Linked DNA regions of Drosophila melanogaster. The protein of the gene in region 1 interacts with the protein of each later gene in a pairwise test. Each region holds a gene or a part of one and is shown on either strand. Other genes may lie near its edges.

What was found.
Region 2: the proteins of drm (region 1) and Irbp18 interact in a two-hybrid assay, tested with the Drosophila melanogaster proteins (one large-scale study listed by BioGRID).
Region 3: the proteins of drm (region 1) and Paris interact in a two-hybrid assay, tested with the Drosophila melanogaster proteins (one large-scale study listed by BioGRID).
Region 4: the proteins of drm (region 1) and Spps interact in a two-hybrid assay, tested with the Drosophila melanogaster proteins (one large-scale study listed by BioGRID).

Annotation. Positions count from the first base shown.
Region 1 is NT_033779.5:3,537,484-3,543,332, reverse strand, and holds the start of drm (drumstick), read right to left. Parts: upstream 3,601-5,849; 5' UTR 3,356-3,600; intron 1-3,355. UniProt on the Drosophila melanogaster protein: Putative transcription factor. May function redundantly with odd and sob in leg joint formation during the larval stages, acting downstream of Notch activation.
Region 2 is NT_037436.4:11,096,220-11,100,504, forward strand, and holds Irbp18 (inverted repeat binding protein 18 kDa), read right to left. Parts: upstream 1,968-4,285; 5' UTR 1,923-1,967; coding exon of another isoform or gene 1,892-1,922; coding exon 1,781-1,891; intron 1,654-1,780; coding exon 1,423-1,653; 3' UTR 1,227-1,422; downstream 1-1,226. Other genes in the region: CG33947 (uncharacterized protein), read left to right, coding at 794-842, 1,873-1,922; APP-BP1 (beta-Amyloid precursor protein binding protein 1), read left to right, coding at 2,466-2,533, 2,591-2,755, 2,812-3,457, 3,524-3,857, 3,920-4,168, 4,228-4,285.
Region 3 is NT_033779.5:4,460,879-4,465,575, reverse strand, and holds Paris (parkin interacting substrate), read right to left. Parts: upstream 1,966-4,697; 5' UTR 1,790-1,965; intron 1,736-1,789; 5' UTR 1,731-1,735; coding exon 690-1,730; 3' UTR 501-689; downstream 1-500. Other genes in the region: FIG4 phosphoinositide 5-phosphatase, read right to left, coding at 1-196, 258-338; CG15443 (uncharacterized protein), read left to right, coding at 2,616-2,952, 3,013-3,752; CG15435 (uncharacterized protein), read right to left, coding at 4,017-4,697.
Region 4 is NT_033777.3:24,222,235-24,228,855, forward strand, and holds Spps (Sp1-like factor for pairing sensitive-silencing), read right to left. Parts: upstream 4,701-6,621; 5' UTR 4,422-4,700; coding exon 1,515-4,421; coding exon of another isoform or gene 1,464-1,514; 3' UTR 1,211-1,463; downstream 1-1,210. Other genes in the region: cav (caravaggio), read left to right, coding at 109-240, 302-1,189; CG13609 (uncharacterized protein), read left to right, coding at 4,890-5,984.

The DNA.
Region 1 (5,849 bases):
AAAAAAACGTCTTCTCGTACTAAAAAGTAAAAAGTAACCGCGTGGAACAATGCTGGAAGGTCATATGATCTATATTTTTAAGATGTTATTTTAAAGATAATAATGAAAGCAAGTAAATAATAATGAAAGCAACTTTCAAACACTTTGATACCCCGCTTTCGCCCAGTGGGTGAGGTGCACGGGTTCGGGCCTGGGTCGCTGATCGCATTGGTCATGTCTGGTGGGAGACTGGGACTCGGCTAAGATCGGCTCAAAGGCCTGGCCAAAAGAGACTCCTCCAATGTTAATTTGTGTACACAATGTGGCGTCACATTGGCATTTTAACGCCGTTAATCATGCGACACAGGGCGCCTGCATAAGGCCATCCATTCGATATGGATTCTTTGGGTCCGGGTCTCTCCGCCTCGATCGGTCTCGCATTTGGCCATGCTTTGCTTTGGATTTGGACTCGGACTCGCATTTGGACGTGGACTTGTATTAAGTTTGTCTCTGGGAGCGTGGGCCTAAGTGGAGCACCATTAGCCACGGGTTGCTCTCCGGGGTTAAGCACTCTATTTGGCCATTTGCTGGATGCGTCGAATGACGATGGAATTGTCTTCAGTCTGGGGATGGGGCAAAATGGGCGGGGGAGACCTTCGAGAACAGTGAAATTCGAGCTGACAATTGAGTGAGCCCATCAATTTGGAAGGTTAAGTTAGCTGGCCTGGGGCATTCCAATAATAAAGGTGTCCAATGGCACATGGTCTATCCATATTGGTAAAGTCAATCTCATTATATTAACTCAGCAAAACTGAAAGGTAAAGCATCTTCCTACAGTTATAATCCTAATCTTTTGATCAAGTTGGTATATCCTTTTAATCCGTTGAAAATCCAAGCAAAACAATCATCCGAATCCATCTAAAAACCTGTGCAAAGTCATGGCAAATCCAAACGGGCTTAACTTGGCACCTTCTCCGATCCGGGACTTTAAACGGTCTCCAACTGTTAGTATTTTGCAACTGGACATTACAATCCGCTTATGCGAAAAACGAACACCCACAGAGACGGAGGGAAAACTGCCCAAATATTGTATAATAAACTGTTGTCCAACTCAAAGATAATCCCATTAATCCGCACTGAAAATTATTAGTGTTGTGCACACACACATAGTTTCGGACAGGAAGGTTGAGATGTGAAGATCTGAAAATCTGGAGATCTCTGGGAGATCTTCAGCACAGCATGATCCTGACTCTGGACTTTGGGTTTCCGTGTGAAGGGCATGCGAAAGGCGTTAATGCTGCGTGAAATTAGATTTGCAGCGATGGGAAAGAGAAATAAAATGGCAAACTGCAAACAGAGAGTGAGATTATATATGGCCAGATCTCTGGTAAGAGAAGTAAGTGCGTCGGGGGCTTCCACGAAACTCGAGCCGCCTCGAGAGTTACAGTTTAACACCCCGAGATAAATGTGTAGCGGTATGGGCGATAACAGGCTCAAAACTGGGTCCAAAAAAAGGGCTCAAAGCAGTGACACACACGTCGCAGGACGTGGGATATGGTCGAAAGCGATTACCACACTTCTTTCACCTCGCACCGTGGTCATCCCTTTATTTTTTGTAGGAGGCGGACAGTGAGTTGGCAAGGTGCCATTAAAAATTACAACCGAAAAGTGAAAAGAAGAAACCGAAGCGAGAAAAAATGACAATAAAAGGACATAAGGCTCTGAAGACAAAGGCACCGAAGTCCATTTGATACGAATCTAATTGTGCTAATGGCGCAGAATTCCCGGGAAAAACACCCACACACACGAGATCCTGGCCTGACAACAGAACCAATAAGTCGGTGGAAACAATTAGGATGTGTGGCACTGCCACTTCAGTGCGAACAAAGGAATACCTTCGTAACCCCAAACACAAACACACCACAAGATACAAAGATACAATGCGGCAAGGTATGAGCGATCTTCCCTAGATCCATCGCAAATCGGATGGGAATTTCGTGGCCGAAGCAAGTCGATTTCGGACGCTTCTCACCTTCAGCCCGTAAGATATGACAGTTGCTCAAAAGTCGGCGCAGATTAGCTGCCAGCTGAGCCCATTTACCGTAATCGCTTAGCTAATTAGACTCTAATTGATGGAGCGCAGCGGGAGGTCCAGACGAGGTCAAAGATCAGACAGACGGGAAAGAAATGGTCGCGGGAAAGCAGTAAGAATTTCAGAGGTCACGAAACTCTTACAACAACTTTACTTCAGTATAACTATGTTAAACGAATTTCCCTATATTGTAAATGTTAGTCCTACTTCCAGAAAGTTCCCCTAGAATATGGGTTCTGATTTCTGCGATTTCGCACCAGATTCATTGGAATTTTCGCACAAGTGCCAAATCTCAGGTATTTCAAAGTACCTGACTTTGACGCAACTTTTTGAACATCTGTTGTTAGCTTGAGCCGTACTCATTGGTATTTCATAATCCAATGAAAAAAGCACAACTCCATGACTCATAGGCAAATAACTTGTACCAAAACGGCTGATGATGATATGCCAAACATTCTTGGCGATGATTTGCCGTGTTTTGTGCGTCCGCGATCAACCTTCGACAAACTAGGCTTTTTGTTCTTAATGCTGACTCATTAAACTTCTCAGCTTCTATTCTTTCAATCTGAAAAAATGCCGACGGCTTTAAGAGTTTTCAATTCCTAGACAATTTCAATGGAAAACGACTGAAACCTTTAAAAATAGAACAGGTTGAAAGTTTAGGATACAATAAAAACTTATATTTGTTCTGAAGAGAGCTCAAATGTTTTTTTAGACCAACTTTAATAGAAAATAATATTAAATAGTTTTCTTTTCGAAAATTAATGAGCATTTTTTTATGAGATACAAATTATTTCTTCTTCATTCATTTCGGAAATTAATAACACATTTGTACTATACAATGAGAGATCAATAAACTCGGTTGTATTTCAAGTAGATCACCCATTTTGGGGAATTCGTGTCAAGAAGTGCGGGTAAAAACTTTTTACAGTCCAATAGGGAAATATTCGGACTTGGCGTCCGCCATTTTGGCAAATGGCGACACTTTCTCACGCACACAGAGGCCGAAAAGCTCCGTTGGCCACACGCATGCCATATTAGACGCATCGCCCCTCTCCCTCTGGCACACTAAAGAGCCGAAGTGAGAGGCCCGGGCAGAAAGAGAGGCCGATACACGCACCCGTGTTACGTGTGGGGTTTACTTCTTCTTTTCTTTGCTCAGTTTTCAGTTGTCCAATGAAAGCGGCGTAAAACTGGTAGCGAAACAAGTGTGGAAGGGGGAAGAACGACGAACAGAAGAACACGAAGAACGCCATTGAAGAGAGGAGCTGAAGAAAGACTTACCCAATGGGATGCACTGGAGTTACGCGTTCTTCGGACTCGAGTAGAGGCTAACCGATTTCTATAGCTGAGTTTTGTGCGATTTTCGTATGTCCGCTGAATGGATAGATCGATTTGTATCTCTTTTGAAGGTACTCGCGAAGGAAATGTTACTGATGTTGTTACTGATACTGTTACTGATGAGAGGGAACTATATACGCACGCTCGAGCGGCACAAAGTTGAATGAATGAATGCTACTAATAACTGAAAGAAATAGTAGTCGCCTCTGCCGCCGTCCTCTGTCGGCGTCGCTGCCGGCGTCGCTGCTGGCAAGTTGAGGAAGCGAGATCATCGCTCTGTCCCTGTCTGTTACTCAATTCGGTGGCACTGTGTGAGTGTGTGTAAGTGTGTGTGAGTCATCCGAAGAGAAACGAAGCAAAACGAAGACCGGTAGCCGAAGCTACTGCTCATGCGCAGCGCTCGCTAGCCATCCCTTTCGCTCGCCCTAAGTTCTTATGCGTAAGTACAGAAGCTGGCAAACGGAAGCCACAAAATGGCGTCTCTTCTAACGGAAGCCAAGCGTAAAAGTCACAAAATGGCGTCACTTACCTATTGCGAAAGCACGAAATTCCGTTTGCTATTTGGCAAGACACAAATTGTATGCAATTTCTGTTTGGTAGCACTGTGTTGGGTAATATTATTAATAAAATATATTTCACTTCCGAACGCTTCTGTGCGCGAGAGTCAACTGCAAAGTTACGATCGAAAACTTCAGCTTGATGGGTTGAACTTTTTCTGTTTTCCTTTTTTTGGTTACCCTCTTTTTTACAGCCCTCTCTCGGTTGGCTGTCCCTTTCCCACGCACTGTTTGGGTCGCGGAGAACGAGTTTTGAGTGTTTCAGCTGATTGGTCGGAGGAAAATGAGCTAAAGAGCGAACTGAGAAAACTGGAGAGTGAGCGAGCGAGAGAAGGCTACCTGAGTTGAGTGGTTTCGAAGGCGTTACCTGAGTTGACTGTTAATTAAGCTTAAGTAAGCCAACATTTCAATTAAGTTTAGGCGACTAATGAGTGAAAGGTGTGCTGGATAATGCGGGCTGTAATAAGCTTGCGATTTCTTTGGATTTCCTCGGACTTCTTCTCTGTCTTTCTAGCTGCTGTTTGGCTAAAAAGGTAACTTTCTTTCACTTATACCTGTGTATATTTTTATAGATGTGGGCGTGGCTTTGGGCGGCGCTCTGTCTGTCCCACTCTTTCGCGCCGTCTCGCTCGCTCACCCCCTTTTTAACTGCTTCTTAACCCGTTTTGCGAGCGAGCGAGAGGCCAAATATAAAAACCAGTGGCAGAGCAGAGCAACCGTATTACGCAGTGCTCAATTTTTAGTGTATTTATCTTCTTTTTTTGTGGAGCTCCATTTTGTTTTCAGGGCCTGAGAAACTTTTTTCTCGCATTTCCTTTGGCTTTGCCGCCTCCGCCTTTGTTGTCGCTCTTCTGCTTGTGTGGCCTCTTTAGACCCGAAAAAATAATACTACAAAAACACCATATTGATGGTCTGTTTATCTTTTGTGCCTCACCATATCTGTTTATCTTTTACGATTTCTCAATGAAATCTGAAAAACTGTGTCGTTCATTCAGCAAGAAACTTCATTAACTTAACACCCAGTGTTTTTAATTAGGTGCGCCAGAAAAGGATTGTTTTTAATTAAGTTTTCGCCTGTCCATAAAGCTTAACAAATTATTTTCGACTGCTTTTGGGCATTTTTAAGTGCAATCCGTTGGCAACTCCACTTTGATGGCTTCATCTCTGTCCGCCTCGCTTTTGTTTCACTCCATCTGTGTCCATCTGTCTTATTGTTTTTCGGATCAAATTTGCATATTTTAAATGGCCAATCAGCAAACTCGAAAAGGAGACGTATCGACAATTGTGAGGAGCTTCCTTTTGAAGGAGAAACTAATTATGAACCCTCCAAAGAAGAGTCTGAAAAATGACTTGGCTTACTTGGCAATTTTGAAGACTTTGTTTTCAGAGGCGAGGAATGTGATGCAATATTTCACTCGATGTTGAAAGGTTGTTTGGTTCACAAAGATTATTGTATTTATTATCATAAACAAACAATAATTTGACCTTCACATCCATATGTAGTCATTTTTTTTTGGATTTTCCGCATCCTTTACTCATCTATCATCTTCAAATAATCTGTCACTTAAAAAGCCCCTAAATTTTTGACAAATACCTCGCAACTTTCTCAATCTAACAACAAATAAAGTTAGGGCCAGCATAAATTCCAACGACCCAAAACTTGTGCGCCAGACAGTGCACACAAAAGTATTAAATTTCATTAATTGCCAATATTAAAAAGGCAAACAAAATCGAACAGTAAAAAAAATGAAGATTGGTGAAAAATTAAAAATTCATACGGCAGCGATGCGGTCACATAAATTTCGGAGGAGGCAACAAAGACTACAGCTAAGAAAAGGCAGATGCAAAAAATTATAATAAATATATACGCGAAGATACAC
Region 2 (4,285 bases), on another chromosome or scaffold:
ATGTAAGTGTCACTGTGAAGTTTTTTCAAATGCTTGGAATTATATACCAATTTTTGCAAATTTCATAGACAATATGATTAACTTAATATTTAAAATATAAGTCTGACCAGGATTTTAATATAAGAACATAAACAAGATAAAAAAAAATTTTCAAGAATTTCAACAATTTCAAAACAACCACGCTTTTTAACGGTTTTTAACGAAATACTGAATCAGCTGTTCCTCGCTGAAAACTTTGCAACACTGCGCGAGAGAAAAAAGCGAGAGCAAGGCCGTGCAGTAAAAGAGCGAGCGAGAGCGGCCAAAACAACCAAAATAAAGTTACGTGAAATTATAAATAAAAAATAAGGAAATACACGTTCAGCTGCCGACCAGCCAAATACAACAAAGCAACGCTGTAAAAACTGAAAACACATTTCAGTTTATTTCGCCTCGTGCCATGTGAGCAACTTCAAATTGATATTGAATCGGAATCAGTGTGCGGGTGGTGCTAATTAGCGGAAGACGGCAATTTATTGAACGCGAAAAAAGCCCCACAATCCAACTTCCATTTCGACACGAAACCAACCACCCGCCAAATCAAATCGCCGTCGAGTTGTGCATCAAATGAATGTGCGAAAAGTGCAGTAAATCAATGTTTTTGTGAGTGTTTGAAAGAAGAAGACGGAAGGAGCGCCCACAACAAAAGCAAAGAGAGCAAGACCTAACGGGACACCCGAAACCAAAAACCTATCGGCACAACGACACTTTCTCAATAGCTATAGTTTTAGTTCATATGTTCATATCTCGGAAAATGGACGAGGTCTTTAGCCTACACATGGAGAAATTGGACGTTTACGACGGTTAGTATCTAATTTGCCGGAAGTTCTACTTAAACGTAGAACATATGTATATGATGGAATCTGGGTTGTATTTCTGATTAATGAGTTCATCAACTTTCAAGGAAATAATAATAGTAGTAGTAGTTGTAAACAGCTGAAGTATTGGGTATAAAATAACACTGATATGGGTAAAATCATAATAGACACTTTATTTGATTCAAGACTCGCATGATTTTAGCTGTATGAATCATGTCGAAAATAATAGAAATCACTATTACTAAATATAGATAATTTTAAAATTTAGATTCAGTGCAACATGGATACAGTGATTAAGTGTTACAATATAAACAAAAGTAAAAGAAAAGTACAACAAAAACAAGTATTTGGTGAGAAATGATAAAAACTCACCAATAATGAAAACCATTTATGTAGGATTTTAACAAACACTGTTCTCGTCTGCATGAGTGCTTGTCTTTGTAATAGAATTCGAGCAATTGCACCATTTTAATCGAAAAACTAAGATGATACACATGGTTAACAACCATGGGAAATGGCTTAAAAGTATGAAAATATAAGAAGGTAAATCAGGAGAAGCTCCTCGTTAGTCATTGTCCTTGGGATCGGGATCTGGTTCAGCGAGAATCTCCTGGATGATTCGATGGCCGTCCTCCGTTTTCTCACCCTGAATGATCAGATCTCTAAGCGTAGATATATGTTTTTCACTCGTCTCGATCTGAACCTTAAGAGCATCGTTTTGCTTCCTCAAATCATCGATGCGTTTCTTACGTTCCTCGGCCGATTTCTTGGTCTTTTCGCGTGTGCGCTGAACAGCCTGTTCCGAGAATAGTAATAAATCAATAGTGGGCATCTATTTTTGGGGACTTCTGGGGGCCACGGCGCCACAGCAACATGTTTCCCAATCTTTGCTCTCTGTTTACATCCAAAACTCTTAAACTTACCTCATTGTTTTTCTTTCTTTTTTCTTTGTACGCTGGATCGTCTGTGTGCGGACTTAATGGCGAATCGCTATTTTTGCTGGTCGACGCGGCAGTTCTCTTTTTGGCCGGCATTATCTCCGTGATAATACTGATATTTATTTAGTTCAAATTGGATCGCAATCGGACGGAAATGCAGAAGAAAACACAGCGATGTATGCGTTGTTTTGTTGTGAAATTACACGATAAAACAGCTGTTCATTAGCCCTCCCAGTGTTGCAAAATGCGCTGCCTACACTGCCCAGCCAACAAACAGTTAGCGGTATTATTTAATTAAATTAATTGCATGTTGAAAATCAATATTAAAACTCACCCAAAACCATAGCCATGGAATGCTATTCAAAAACTGTCAACCAGACACTTTATTTGGTTTGCTCAGACTTTCACTTTTTAATTTCTCAACTGTTTATACATTTTATTTGTAAAGACTGATTGCTTGTACGTAGATGTAGTTTAATGCAATAAAATTAAATGAAATGTAATACGTAATAGTCAATAAATGTTTTAAATAAGCAACAGTTAAAATTACCAACGTGTTTTTTCCAACACTCCACCCAATAAACAAATTGTGTCAGAAGTATTGGCTGCCGGCGCTTTACAGTACTGGATTATTTGCAACCGGCTTATTATTGCACAAAAATCTAGTGAAATGTCCTCGCCAGCCCCCAAATCGCCAGAGCTTTCGGATAAAAGCAAGAAATACGACAGACAAATCAGGTGAGGAGCGTTTTAATTGATAAATTCGGAAGCATAGCACTGATGACACCTATTTAGGCTGTGGGGAGAGCATGGACAGACGCTATTGGAGGCAGCCACAGTATGTTTGGTGAATGTTACGGCCGTCGGCTGTGAAACTGCCAAGGGACTGGTGCTACCCGGTATCGGAGGCTTCACTGTGGCCGATGGCAGCACCGTCAAGGAGGAGGATCTGGGCAACAAGTCGGTAGACCATCACACATTCCCTGACCACCATTATAAAGTCACTTTTTCCGTAGTTTCTTCCTCGATTCCAGCTATCTGGGCAAATCTAAAGCATTGGCTTGCATGCAACTTCTCCAGGAACTCAATCCCGACGTAAATGGCGATTATGTCGACGAGAGTGCCGACTTTTTATTAGCCAACAGACCGAACTTCTTCGACAGCTTCGATTTAGTGATTGCCTCCAATCTCAATGAGCAGACTTTGCTTCTCCTGGCCGAACGGTTATGGGAGCTTAACGTTCCATTAATCTACTGCCGATCGCTTGGCATGCTGGGCACAATACGCTTGCAAATACGGGAACACTGCATCGTGGAGGCGCATCCGGATAATCGACAGTTTGATCTGCGTCTGGAGCATCCATTCGATGCTTTGCGGGAGCATCTCGACGGCACCGAGGTGACCAGTAAGGTGCCCTGGTTGCTGGTTCTTCACAAATACCTTAATGTGTGGCAAAAACAACAAGCGGATGGGACTCAAACGCCTCGAAATTACAAAGAGAAGAATCAGTTGAAGGAGACCATTAGAGAGGAGATGAAGGCGGATGAGGAAAACTATGAAGAGGCCATCAAGGCGGTCAATACAGCCTTTGGAGCGGGACAGGTTCCCAAAAGCCTGAAAGCCATATTCGAAGATGATGCCTGCGAACAGTTAAACAAGAAGGTTGCCCATATAATCTGAATTTATACGTATACTTTACTTTCATTTGTTTTTCTTTTTTTTTTACAGAGCAACGTCTTTTGGATCATGGCCAAGGCCCTAAAGCACTTTGTGATACATGAGAATGAGGGCCATCTCCCTCTGCCTGGCGTTCTGCCGGACATGACTGCCAATACGGACTCCTATATCGCCCTGCAGCACATCTACCGCCAACAGGCGCTGCAAGACGCCGACCAGGTGTATCACAAGTGCCAGGAGTACCTTAAGCAGTTGGCTTTGCCTGCCGACAGCATTGATGAGAGAAGTGTGCGTCTCATTTGCAAAGAAGCAGCCGGACTGGCGGTCATAAGGGGTACACGCATTGCAGAGGAGTACGAGAAGAGCAGTCGCCTGCTACCACTGGGTAAAGATCTATCTATCTATTTTGGAACAACCTTAAATGACTTACCTTTCCTTGCCTTCCAGTTGAGGACAACGAGCTGCAGGGCAACCTCACGGCATACAACTTTGCGCTGCGCGCCTACGAGCGCTTCCTCAGCGAGTGTGGCAACATTCCCGGCGAGTGCATCGTTGAGCAGGACATTGGACGTCTGAAGAGCATTGCCGCCAAGATGCTTAGCGATTTGGGAATGCACGCCACCATCAGCGATGATGTTCTGCACGAGATTTGTCGATATGGCGGAGCTGAGTTGCATGCAGTGTCTGCTTTTATTGGTAAATATTCCATTTGGTTTATGCGTTGACCGATACTATATTCTGCTAATTCCTTTCAGGTGGCTGCGCTGCCCAGGAGGTGATCAAGATCATTACGAAGCAATACAAGCCAATCGA
Region 3 (4,697 bases), 920 kb from region 1:
AGCGCACAAATCCAAGGACGCCATAAGCGGACGTCACCTTGGGCGAACCCGAAAGGGAAGCGACAAAACGTCGGATCTCCAGGCTGTTAAACTCGTTGGCATTCTCCTCGATACTCAGCCGGTTGTGGGCAAGTCGGTCTATGGTCAGGAGGCGAAACCGAGTCTCCCGATTGTTGCTGCCCACCAAATAGAGGCGCTGAAATTATGGCGATATATGTGATTAGTCAAAAAAAGGTCAGCTGGAGGTGATTTCTTACCGCTCGTGTCTCATAGAGCACTACTTTTTGGATGGAGCTTATCAGGGGATTGAAAACTATATTCGGATTATCATTGTTCATTTTTTCAGCTTTTCCGAAATTTTTTTGTTACAATTTCTCAGGCCGCTCCCACATAAACAACAAACAGCTGATCATCATCTGTAGTTGGATATGCGAGAAATGGCCAGTGTTGGCAGCGTGAGAGGGAGTCGATTAATTAATTTTGTTTTGGTTCAATCAAATATAAATAACATTTTATTCCATCATAAAACATATCAAAATAGGCATATTCATTACCAACCAATTTTATGCCTTATTCTTACAATACCTATGAATATGTTAGCTTATTTTATCATCTAGCAAAATCATTTTTGTCCATTTTAAAGTAGTGCACATGGAAGATATGTCTTCCAAGTGTTTTTAAAGTAGTGGTCACTTGTGTATCTCGAGGATATGTCTAGCAAGTGTTTTTCTCTGCTTATAGAAACTGGCACAGTGAGGACACTTAAATGTTCTTTCAGCGTTGTGTACGAGCTTGTGCTCCTTGAGAGTGCTGCTCAGCCGAAAAGTCTTGGGACAGTGGGAGCAGCGAAATGGACGATCTGGTAAGTGCAGGCGGCTGTGCTGCTTGAGGTGCTGCTTCATAGCGAAGGCCTTGGGGCAGTGGGAACACTTGAATGGTCGTTCACCAGTGTGAGAACGGAAATGGTTATCAAGGTGAAACTTCCTCGTAAATGTTTTCGTGCACTTGGAGCACTTGAACGGTCTCTCGCTGCCATGTGTGCGGATGTGACGCCGGAGATCGGATGATTTAATAAAGGTTTTTGAGCACTGTGAACACTTGAATGGTCGTTCGCCAGTGTGAGTTCGCTCATGCGACTGCAGAGTGGACTGCTGCGCAAAGGTCTTGGCGCAGTGGGAACACTCGTAGGGTTTCGCTGCATTGTGGGTCTTCATGTGCGCCTTGAGAGTGACTCTAAGTCTAAAGTTCCGCTTGCAGTAGGGGCATGGGAAGGATTGTCCGTCCATGTGTGTTCGCATGTGCCTCAGAAAAGTTCCCTTTCGCTGGTATTTCTTGTGGCATTCTCGACATTCGAATGCTACCTTCTTGCTGTCGCTTTTCCCATCGTCATCAGCAGCGGATGCAGAATCAATCCGCGCATCTTCGTCTTCCGAAATCTCCCAGTCTTCTTCTTCGAGCAAGGCGCATAAAGCATCCTCGATGCCTTCATCGCGAACTCGGCAGTAGAACTGGTGGCTTTCCTCACAAGTTTGCCTTATCCCATACGCGCTCTTTACGTCCTCATAGCACTGTGGGCATATCATTTCCGAAAACAAATCGCCACGTTTGACCTCGAATCCGGTGCACTGCGCGATCATCTCGGCAATGGAAACTCTGGTTCTTCGTCTGGCGTCAAATATGTTAACGAGTTTACCAGAAATATCCATACAAACTCGGCATATTTCCGCCATTATCCCTGTAATAAACAATACTTATTAGGCTGAACTTTATGAAGGACTATATTACTTACCTGATGTATATACTAAATAGCTTATAGCTGGAAAAGCAATCTTTTATAATTTAGGAATCCGTTTCATACATCCCAATTAATTGAAAATTAATGCGATTGCCTTGATGAACAATTCAAAATAATAATAAGCTAAACTTCACATTGTGCACAGTACACTGGGCACCCTATTCTCTGGGCCATATGCTAAATCGATTTATTATCGATGTTCGAAATTCAAATTATTTATCAAAATGATGATTTTTGAAACTAAGGTGTGTTTACCATATTTAACAGCTGAGATAAACGCAAACTTGCAAGGGTCGCCCTGTGGTGGTCAGCCCAAGTTTTGATGGGAAAATTCTTATCGGATATCGATATCCTTTACCTGTTGAAGAATATAAAATTGAAATAAATTTCTTTGGAAAAACAAACATTTATCTTCGTATAGTTTTTTCACATTTTCGCCTAGCTAGTGGTGAATAATTTTGGACAGAAGGAGCACTGGACTTTTTCCGTGGAAATCATAGAAAAATTAAATTAAAAAGGCACAAAAAGGAAATGAATCTCCTCGCCGAACTTCTTTGCCAGTATAAAAATAAATTCACATATGAAAAATCGGGTTCCTGGGTGCCACTGAATATGTTTATCCATCGATTCCGGGCTCAGATTACCACCATTGACCTGAAATTAAATAAGCATTACTTACTCCAAATAAAATATAAACAAACAAGTGCGTACCTTTTTTGTTTACAATTTTAACAGCTGATGAGTGAAGTGCTGTTAACCTTTCATAGTTATCGATAATCTGTTATTATTATCGGAATATTGCTCACTTGCTAAGGATTCCATGAAATTTAAACAAATGGACTTTGTGACGACAACTGGGGAGGGAAGTTTTCTGCGAAACAAGATTCGTGCATATGCCAAGGATCACCGTGTTGAGTGCCGCATAAAGGCGAAAGACTCATTGCGCATTGGACTTGGACAGGTTAAGCAGGAAGTGGCGGCTCTTGAGATGGGCACCAAGGACGTCATTGGAATGGCCAGCAGGATCAAGCGTCGCAAGCACGCCACCTCCGAGGATCTGTGCCGCTTGTCGCTGGGGTTCCTCCAGAGCAATGACAACATCAATGCATTCGCAGCTATTCCTGGCGCCATTCAGGTTCTGGTTAAGGAGCTAACTGGTAACCAACTGCACCCTCATTAGCTTTAGTTTTATATAAAAAGGTTGACTTGACTTTCAGGACCTCACATTCAACGACAGACAGATGCCGTGGAGTGCTTGTGTAATCTTTCCTTGGGCGAGGCCCATGTCTCCGAAAAGATTGTCACTTTGGCGGGCAGCTACATGGTCACCTACCTTGATGGCAAGGCCGAACGCCTCAAGCGCAGTTGCCTGTGGACACTGGCCAACGTTCTGGGCACATGCGACAAGGCCGGCAGCGTATTGCTGCAAATGCAAATAGTACCCAAGCTGTGGAGGCTCTACATCGAGCCCAATGGCTGCCAAGAAGATGCGGCCATCTGCCTCTCCCTGGTGGCCACCCGCTGCCCGCAGCATGTGAGTGACGAGGATCGAAGGTACATTGGCCAGAATCTGCCTGAGAAGCTCCACGGCCAGCCTGCCAGCGAGTACTTCATGTACATAGTGCACCAACTGGAAATAGTGACACAGGAGCACAAGTTAGATGCTCAACAGGCCGAATGCCTGGTGCGTTTCTTTGAAGCCACCTTAGCATCGCCAGCCGACCGGCTGTGCCTAATCTACGCCGTGCGTGTAATGACCAATCTGGTAGCCCTAGGTGACACAAGTCTAATATTCGCACTGGCAGACCCGCAGAATCTTGTGCAAACCCTAAACCAGCTCTTCGCTCTGCGAGATCCAGATCTCAACCTGGACGCGATGCGCTTGCTCAAGAACTGTCTGCACTTGAAGGTAGCAGATTCCAACCTGGTACTGAATAGCTTGCAAATATACGCATAGGCTTATGGTTAAGAATAAGTCTTGCAAATCTCTTTATTGGTCTTAGAGTACATATAAATATAAAGCCACGGACTTTTGAGTACTCGAGAATGTATTGTAAATGAACATGGATTGCCGCTAAGCAAAACTAAATCACTAATGGAAACAGAATAAAATAAATAAATAATAAATAAATACAATACGACAAAAACACAGATGCAAAGTGGTCAACATGATTACTAGTTTGATTGAGCCACCGGCATGAAAAACAGGACTTTGTAAAACCTAAATATCATCCTCGAAGAGGGCGATTATTTGACGCCTTTTGGCTTCGTCGTCGGCGTTCAGTTCATTGCCCCTGTGGGCATTGTGGTTGTGCACCTCCAGTTCGGAGACTGAGTCAAATTCTAAATTGCACTGCCCGCAGCGGGCTGAGAAAACGGGCGCTGGACCCTGCGAAACTGTGCCAGGAGAGACAGCGGCCCGTTGCAGCTTCTCGAGGAACGTGGCTCTCTCCCTGTGCTTGTCCAGCCCGATTCCCAGCGCCGCCTTTCCGCGAATGGGAATGGGTTTTTTCACCGTCGGCGTGCCCTGGGAATGGCAACTTTCAGAGCGCTCAATGGCGTACAGCACGTTGTTCTCCTCCGTGATCGGAGTCGTCGTTCCGCTGGCACAGTCGAATAGAGATGGTTCCTGCACCGGCCGGGGATCGGGTATATCTATGGGAATTGGCGGCTCAGCTATCTTCTCACCGTTGGACACCTTCACCTGATTGAGCTTCTCGGCCAGAAGCGAGTCTATGGAATGTTCCTGCAGCCAGGCGCAAGTTTTGTGCAGAGCGAATATCATGCGGCGGATGAACTCGTGCGGCGAGACCATTTTCTGTCGCCTAATCTCGAGCAACTTGGTCACCTCGGTAACAAACGTGACGAACTGGTATTCGACGCAGTTGTCCAGATGCGACTG
Region 4 (6,621 bases), on another chromosome or scaffold:
ATACTGACTAATCGATAACCTTACAGAGTTTCGATAGATCCATTAGCCGCGAATGCCCTTAAAAAGTTGTAATTTATTTAATTTAATGTTGCGTGTTTTTAAAAAAAGGTTAATATGTCGGGGACGCAAATGTCTGCCTTCCTGAGAAAGTATCTAGCCGACGAGGACAAAAAAATTCGTGCGCAATTCAAAGAAAGCGATCCTAACAACAAATTGATTCTATGGATGCACGAAAAAACGGTAAGACGCATTTCATTTTGTAAATTGAAATTGTATATTGTATAGTATCCTGTATTTGAAGAGAATAACCGAGGAGGACTTGGCACGCCCATACACCGAGGACGAGGTAAAGGAGCTTTGTCTACGCACCAAAGTGAAGGTTGATATGACCGCTTGGAATTGTCTGTGGGAAGCCAAAAAGAGGTTTGAAGCAAAAGGACGTTTTGTGAACAAGTCTGAGAGATTCATCAACCGAATGTATATGAAAGCGGTGCGCAGAAAGATGGTCCAACCGTATCCGGAGGAGTTTGTGGCCCAGCGAAGAGAAATAGTTGCAGCCGAGACTAAGAAGCAGAACATCAGCCGATTGGATAGATGGCAAAAGAAAAAGAGTCAAAACCTATCAGCACCAGAATCCTCTCCAGACGCTCATGCATCTTCTAATGACGCGGTGCAGAGCCACGAGGACCAAGCAAACACAAATCTTAGTTCACTGTCTCAAATGAACTTTCAAGTGGAAGCGATGGCTCCGCCAGGCGTGTCGTCATCTGATCTTAGCGGCATCGGAGACGATGAGGACGAACAGCAGCAGTCAGGATTTCAGGATGAGAACATCAACCGTCCAGAGACAGAGATTAATGAGAATTCGGTGAGATGTGATCCAATTAATTTAGGAAGGATGCGGACTGGATGTATAAATTCGCAAGCAAATAACAGTTTCCGGAATACGGAGTCTGATCCGGACTACTATATGTTTGGCACCCAATTGAGCACATTAGTACGACCCACGTCGACTCAAGAGCCTGACGATCAGGTAAACTGTCCAGAGACAGAGATGAATGAGAGCTGGGTAAGGTGTGATCAAATTAATTCGGAAAGCTTGTCGATTGGACCGTCAATTGATTCGGAAGGAACTATCACTTTTCAAAATACAGAATCTGAGCCGATCGACGTCACCTCAATAGCCTGATGTCCATATATTAAACTATATAAAGTTCTTCATTTATTGGTGTTAATTAATTAAAAACATGTAATCCCTAAAAATGTTATAAAATGTATAATAAAAATCTTAATTAAAATACGATGGTCGATTAAGCTATGTACACTAATCTAGGATGATCCGCAACCGGAGCTGTACAAGAAGGGTAAACATTTAAAATGCTCGCTTTTACATAATTACGCTATGTACAATTTATATATTGCTAAACCATGGTCCCATGGGGCGCGGCAGGGGGCGGTGGGTGCTACGGGAAGTGGTCAAACAAGAACTGTTCCATGAACAGCGACTCCGAATGCTAGTTGGACGAATTGTCGCCAGGCTCACTGACCGCAATTGTCATCTTCACTTCATCGCCACTGTCTAGTTCTGGATCCTCGTCATCCTCCTCATCCTCGCAATCATCCATATCGTCCTCGTCGAGCTCCTCGTCTTCGTCGTCCTCTTCGGTCAATTCATCATCCTCCTCGTCGTCCTCATCATCGCCGAAACTATCACCCCCGCCGCTGGCCTCCACAGTCGGCAGCTGAACGATCGTGGCCCCGCCCGGCGTCACAGTTGAGCCTGCAACCGTGGCCGCCACACTGGAGGCTCCACTGCCCGCCGCCGCTGAACCGCCGCCCGGAATCTCAATCGTCACAATGCCGTTCACCGTGCTAATGCTTTTCGGTGCATTGCCACCCTTGGTCTCCTGCTTGATGCTCAGCTCAATTAGCTCCACGCCAGAGCGGCTCTTAAAGTGCGTCTTGATGTGCTTCGACAGGTGATCGCTGCGCATGAACTTTTTGTTGCACTCCTGGCACTGGAAACGCTTCTCTCCCGTGTGCGTTCGTCGGTGGCGCTGCAGTTCATCGGAGCGGGTGAAGCGCTTGCCGCAAAACGCCCAGGAGCAGACAAATGGTCGCTCGCCAGTATGCCAACGCAGGTGAGCCCTTAGATGGGAAGTTTTCCCGTATACCTTATGGCAGCCGGTTATATGGCATATATGCTGGCGCTTCTTGTCCGAGTGTTTTTCGCCATCTGTACAATTGGGACAGGTGCAGGCTACTCGCTTTAAGCGTGGTTTGGGCTCTCCAGTCGCTGTTCCACCGCCGCCGCCAGTTGCAGCACCTCCGACGCTGGCCACACTTATGTTCATATTGAGATGGCTTTGTGACGGCGTTGTTATAGTCGTCGTGCTGGTGTTCGTGCTCCTTATGCTGGCAGTTGCTCCCCTAGCCTGCGTCGTGACGGACACCACTTGGCCACCAGTCGGCGCAATTGTAATCTGGGTGCTTGACGTGGTCACAGCGTTGACCTTACTTCTTGCAGGTAACGATACGGGAATTGGTTGGGTTGTGGCTGGGGTATTCGGTGTATTCGTCGCTTGCTGTGGCAGGGCTGTGATCTGAATGGAGGCTGGTATGCTCAGGCTGGACAGGGAATTGCTTTCCGTATGCAGGAACTTGATCTGCTGCTGTTGCGGTGAGGCTGTGTTTGGAGTAGAGGCAGGTGCCGGAGGATTACCAGTTGCGGAAATGGGTCCAAAGGTATCCGGCGGCTCTTGCTTGATGCTGGTGATCATTTGCGTTGGACTCTGCGGCTCCTGCTTGGGCATCACCTGAACTTGGCCCTGAGTTTGCACTTGAGGATGCGACATGGGTAGTTGGGTTAGTACTTGCTGGAAGTTGGCTGGCAGATTAGGAGGCAGCTGATTGGCGTGAATGATTTGCACTTGACCCAGGCCTGGGATGTTCTGGATGGGTAAAGCCTGAAGATTGGGCATCTGCATTGGTGTGGGCACACCAGCTGGAGCAGGAGTGGGTGCGGTAGGCGCATTTGGGCGTAGTTGGGCGGGAATCACGGTCAGCTGTTGGCCCTGGGCATTGGTAATGGTGATGGGCTGATTGGGCGGCAGTTGTCCCCCCGCCGAGGCATCGCTGATCGCCTGAAGGAGCTGCTGGTGCTGCGCCTGGACCTGTTGTTGTTGCTGCTGCTGTGCCTGTTGCTGTTGCGCTTGCTGCTGCTGTTGCGCCTGCTGCTGCTGTTGTTGTTGTTGTACTTGTTGTTGCTGCTGCTGGTGGGGATTCTGGATATGTATAATGTTGGCATTCGGAGGCAGCTGAGGATACGGCATTGCCAGTTGCACCTGCTGAATCTGACCGTTGGGCGTAACAATCTGGGCTATCTGTGAGAACTGCGGGATGATTTGCATCTGCGAGGCGGAGGGCATCTGCAGGGATTGCGCCTGCATCAGGTTTTGCAGTCCGCCGCTCGATGTTGCCGCTGCCTGGACGGGCACATGTACAGTCTGGTAGATGGTCTGTCCGTTAGCAGTCTGAACGGGAATCTGCACAGCAACCGTTTGTTGCTGCTGCGGCATGGCTGGCGCCGGAAACTGCACCAGTTGCGGCCGCATCTGCAATTGGCCGTTCTCCAACTTTATAGATTGCCCGCCGCCTAGTAAATTGGAGATATTGGAGATGTTTCCCAGCAATCCATTCGCCGCCGCTACCGAGGTTGGTATCTGCAGGTTTGTGCCCGGTATGGTGATGCTGCCCGGCAGCTGACCCGCTGTCCCACTATTGGTAACTCCCGATCCATTGGCTCCAGATGCATTTGTTCCTTGTGCCTGCTGTTGCACTGTACCCTGGTGCACTTGTTGTGCCTGCTGTTGTTGCTGAATGAGATTGGTGACGGGTATTTGAATGTTGGTGCCGGGTATGGTGATCAGCTGGGTTTGCTCCTGGCCCAAGCCGTTCAGCTGTTGCAGCTGAATGCAGTTAGAGGCTGCCGGATTAGCTGCCATCTGGGGAGCCCGCAGAATTTGACCGTTGGGCGTGATAAAGGCCTGTTGCCCGTTGAAGTTGACCGCCTGAGCGGTGGCCAGTTGTGCATTGAGGTTTGGTATGAAGATGGCCTCCTGGCCATCAATGTTCACCGTTTGCATGGGCATGGGCTGTACGATCTGGAACATGTTTTGGGGCATGCCAGCGTTCTGTCCGTTCCCGGCAACCGCTCCGCCTGCAAACTGAGGAGGCATTTGGTGAATGTTGATGATCTGCTGCATGGTTGGTGTCCCGGGAGCACCGTGAACCTGCGTTTGTGAAGCTGCTGCACTAGCTCCATTTGGTGGAATCGTCGCCTTGCTGGAACCGCCTGCCGCCAAAGGCGTGGCGGGTGGCGCACTAGTCGCCGCACTGGCGGCACTCTTGTACTGCAGCATGGCAGGGCTTTAGATGAGATTTGGTCAATCACAAGTGCTTGGAGCGAAACATGTTCAGTTTTTTTATTCGCTCAGACGCGCTACTCTGCCAGGAGATTGGTAGCATTTAAACCAAGGTGGCACACATGGGGTTATGAACACTGGGATGCGGGGTGCCGACGCTAACATTCAAACACATAAATAACACGAAGTCTAAAGATAATTGCGCTGCGAGACGGTTTTAGCGAGTTTTTAGTTTTAATTTTGTTTTGACACAAACGCAGAAGAAGAAGTGAGAGTGATTGGCCAGGGTTGCATTGCGTTGCATCTCGATGGCCGCCAATCGACCAACCAGCCAACCGATAGTGCGATACCAATAACAAACCGCTAAAAGCAAGAAGAAGCATATCACAGATAAACAAATTTTTAACCGACAAGTTGCCTATCCGACAAAATCCATATTTAATTAGATTGCATCTTGAAAGGGGCATGGAGCCGGTTCCAGAGGAAGCCCGAGGAGTGGGTGATGACGAAGGGGAACTCGATTGTCTAACACATATGATTGGGGCGTTGCTTTTGCAAAAAGAACCGGAAAATCCTGAAAATGGTGACTCAAAGGAAACAATTTGGAGTGGAGAGCTCGAATGGGAGGATGCACAGATATTGGATCAACCGAAGACTCTGCACACGGTCCAATGCAAAATCTGCTCCATGGTTAAAGAAGGTCAGCCGGAGATCAACACGGAGAACTGGCCAAACAAGCTGAAAACACAACTGATACCCAAAAAAGTGCTGGGTAAAATTGGCGAACAATTCCTAAAGGATGCCAGGATGGTTGTATTCCGATCCAGCCAAGGAGAGGTACTCAATTTATTGATCACGGCGATGAGCTCTGGTTTCGCTGGTTGCATCCACTTCCCCTCCAATCCCAACTGCAACATCAAGGCTCTAATTCTCATCTACTCGCGCGATCATCAAGCTTTGGTTGGCTTCATACCCAACAATGAGGATTCGTTTAGCGAACGACTGCAGGAGATTCTTCAGGGTGCAAAACGAAAGCCGGGCGTCAAAACACCCAAGCAGCCACAGCCAGAAGAACCGCCTCCTGTGGAGGAAGATGCCATTATAAATGAACTCCTATGGACTGGATCGCTGAATTGGTCGACACAAGCAAGTTTAGAGGAGCCAAGCATTAGTCACAAGCTTGAGTGTTCCGTGTACATAGCTATAAAAAACGGTGATCCCGGGATCAGTGCGGAGGATTGGCCAACTGATATGCCTATGGTTTTGATGCCTTCAATTTATCTTGGTCAGTTCGCCGGAGCGTTTATAAAGGACTCGAAACTTATAATTCTCCGATCGACACCTGGAGAAGAACACGACTCGCTAGCATCATCAATGTCCGCCGGCAGTTGTGGCTGTGCCCGATTTTCCTCCGAGGTCGTCTGCAAGGTTATCATGCTGCTGTATTCGTCCCCGAGGAACGCCTTCCTGGGCTTTATTCCGAGAGATCAAGCTAATTTCGTCAAGCGATTGCGGGAAGTATTAGACGAACATCGCCAAAAGGCGAGAAACAAAGAGTAAACAAGTATCTCAAGATGATCTCAAAGTATATTTAAAATATTTATTTGAACTCTAGGTATATCAAATTTATAGTCATCGAAGAAAGTATTGTTTTATAATTAGATATTTTTTTTTTTTTTGTTTAATTATTATAAATATAGACCAAAGAATATTTAAACAAGATACGCTCGCACGTCCCCAGTGGGAAAACATACCAAGGCTAAAATATGTAATCAGATAAATAATCATAAAACTGCGAACTCCTGAATGCATTTACGCAAGTTTGTATTACGAATGTCTGTCATACGTTGCCATATTAAAACTTAACCGATCTTATAAATAAACATTTTTGATGTGCATCTATTATGTTTATGTTCTACAACTAGGTCAAGGACAACTGTGTTATCGCATGTCAGATGCTGCAGCATTAATAGACATTAAAAAAAAAACCCCGACTGTAAAATAAGTAATCTAATGAATGCTTCTATTTAGGAAGTTTGAAATAAAAATAATCTTCCGAATGCAAAATCCTTTCCTTTTCGTATTAGTTGTGAATTGATCGAATAAGTATTTTCATATGTTGGGTTCATCATCTTCGTCTTAAGGATTACATTTTCAAAGGTCAATTAGTCTTTTTCATTGCGTAAGCCTTGTAAAA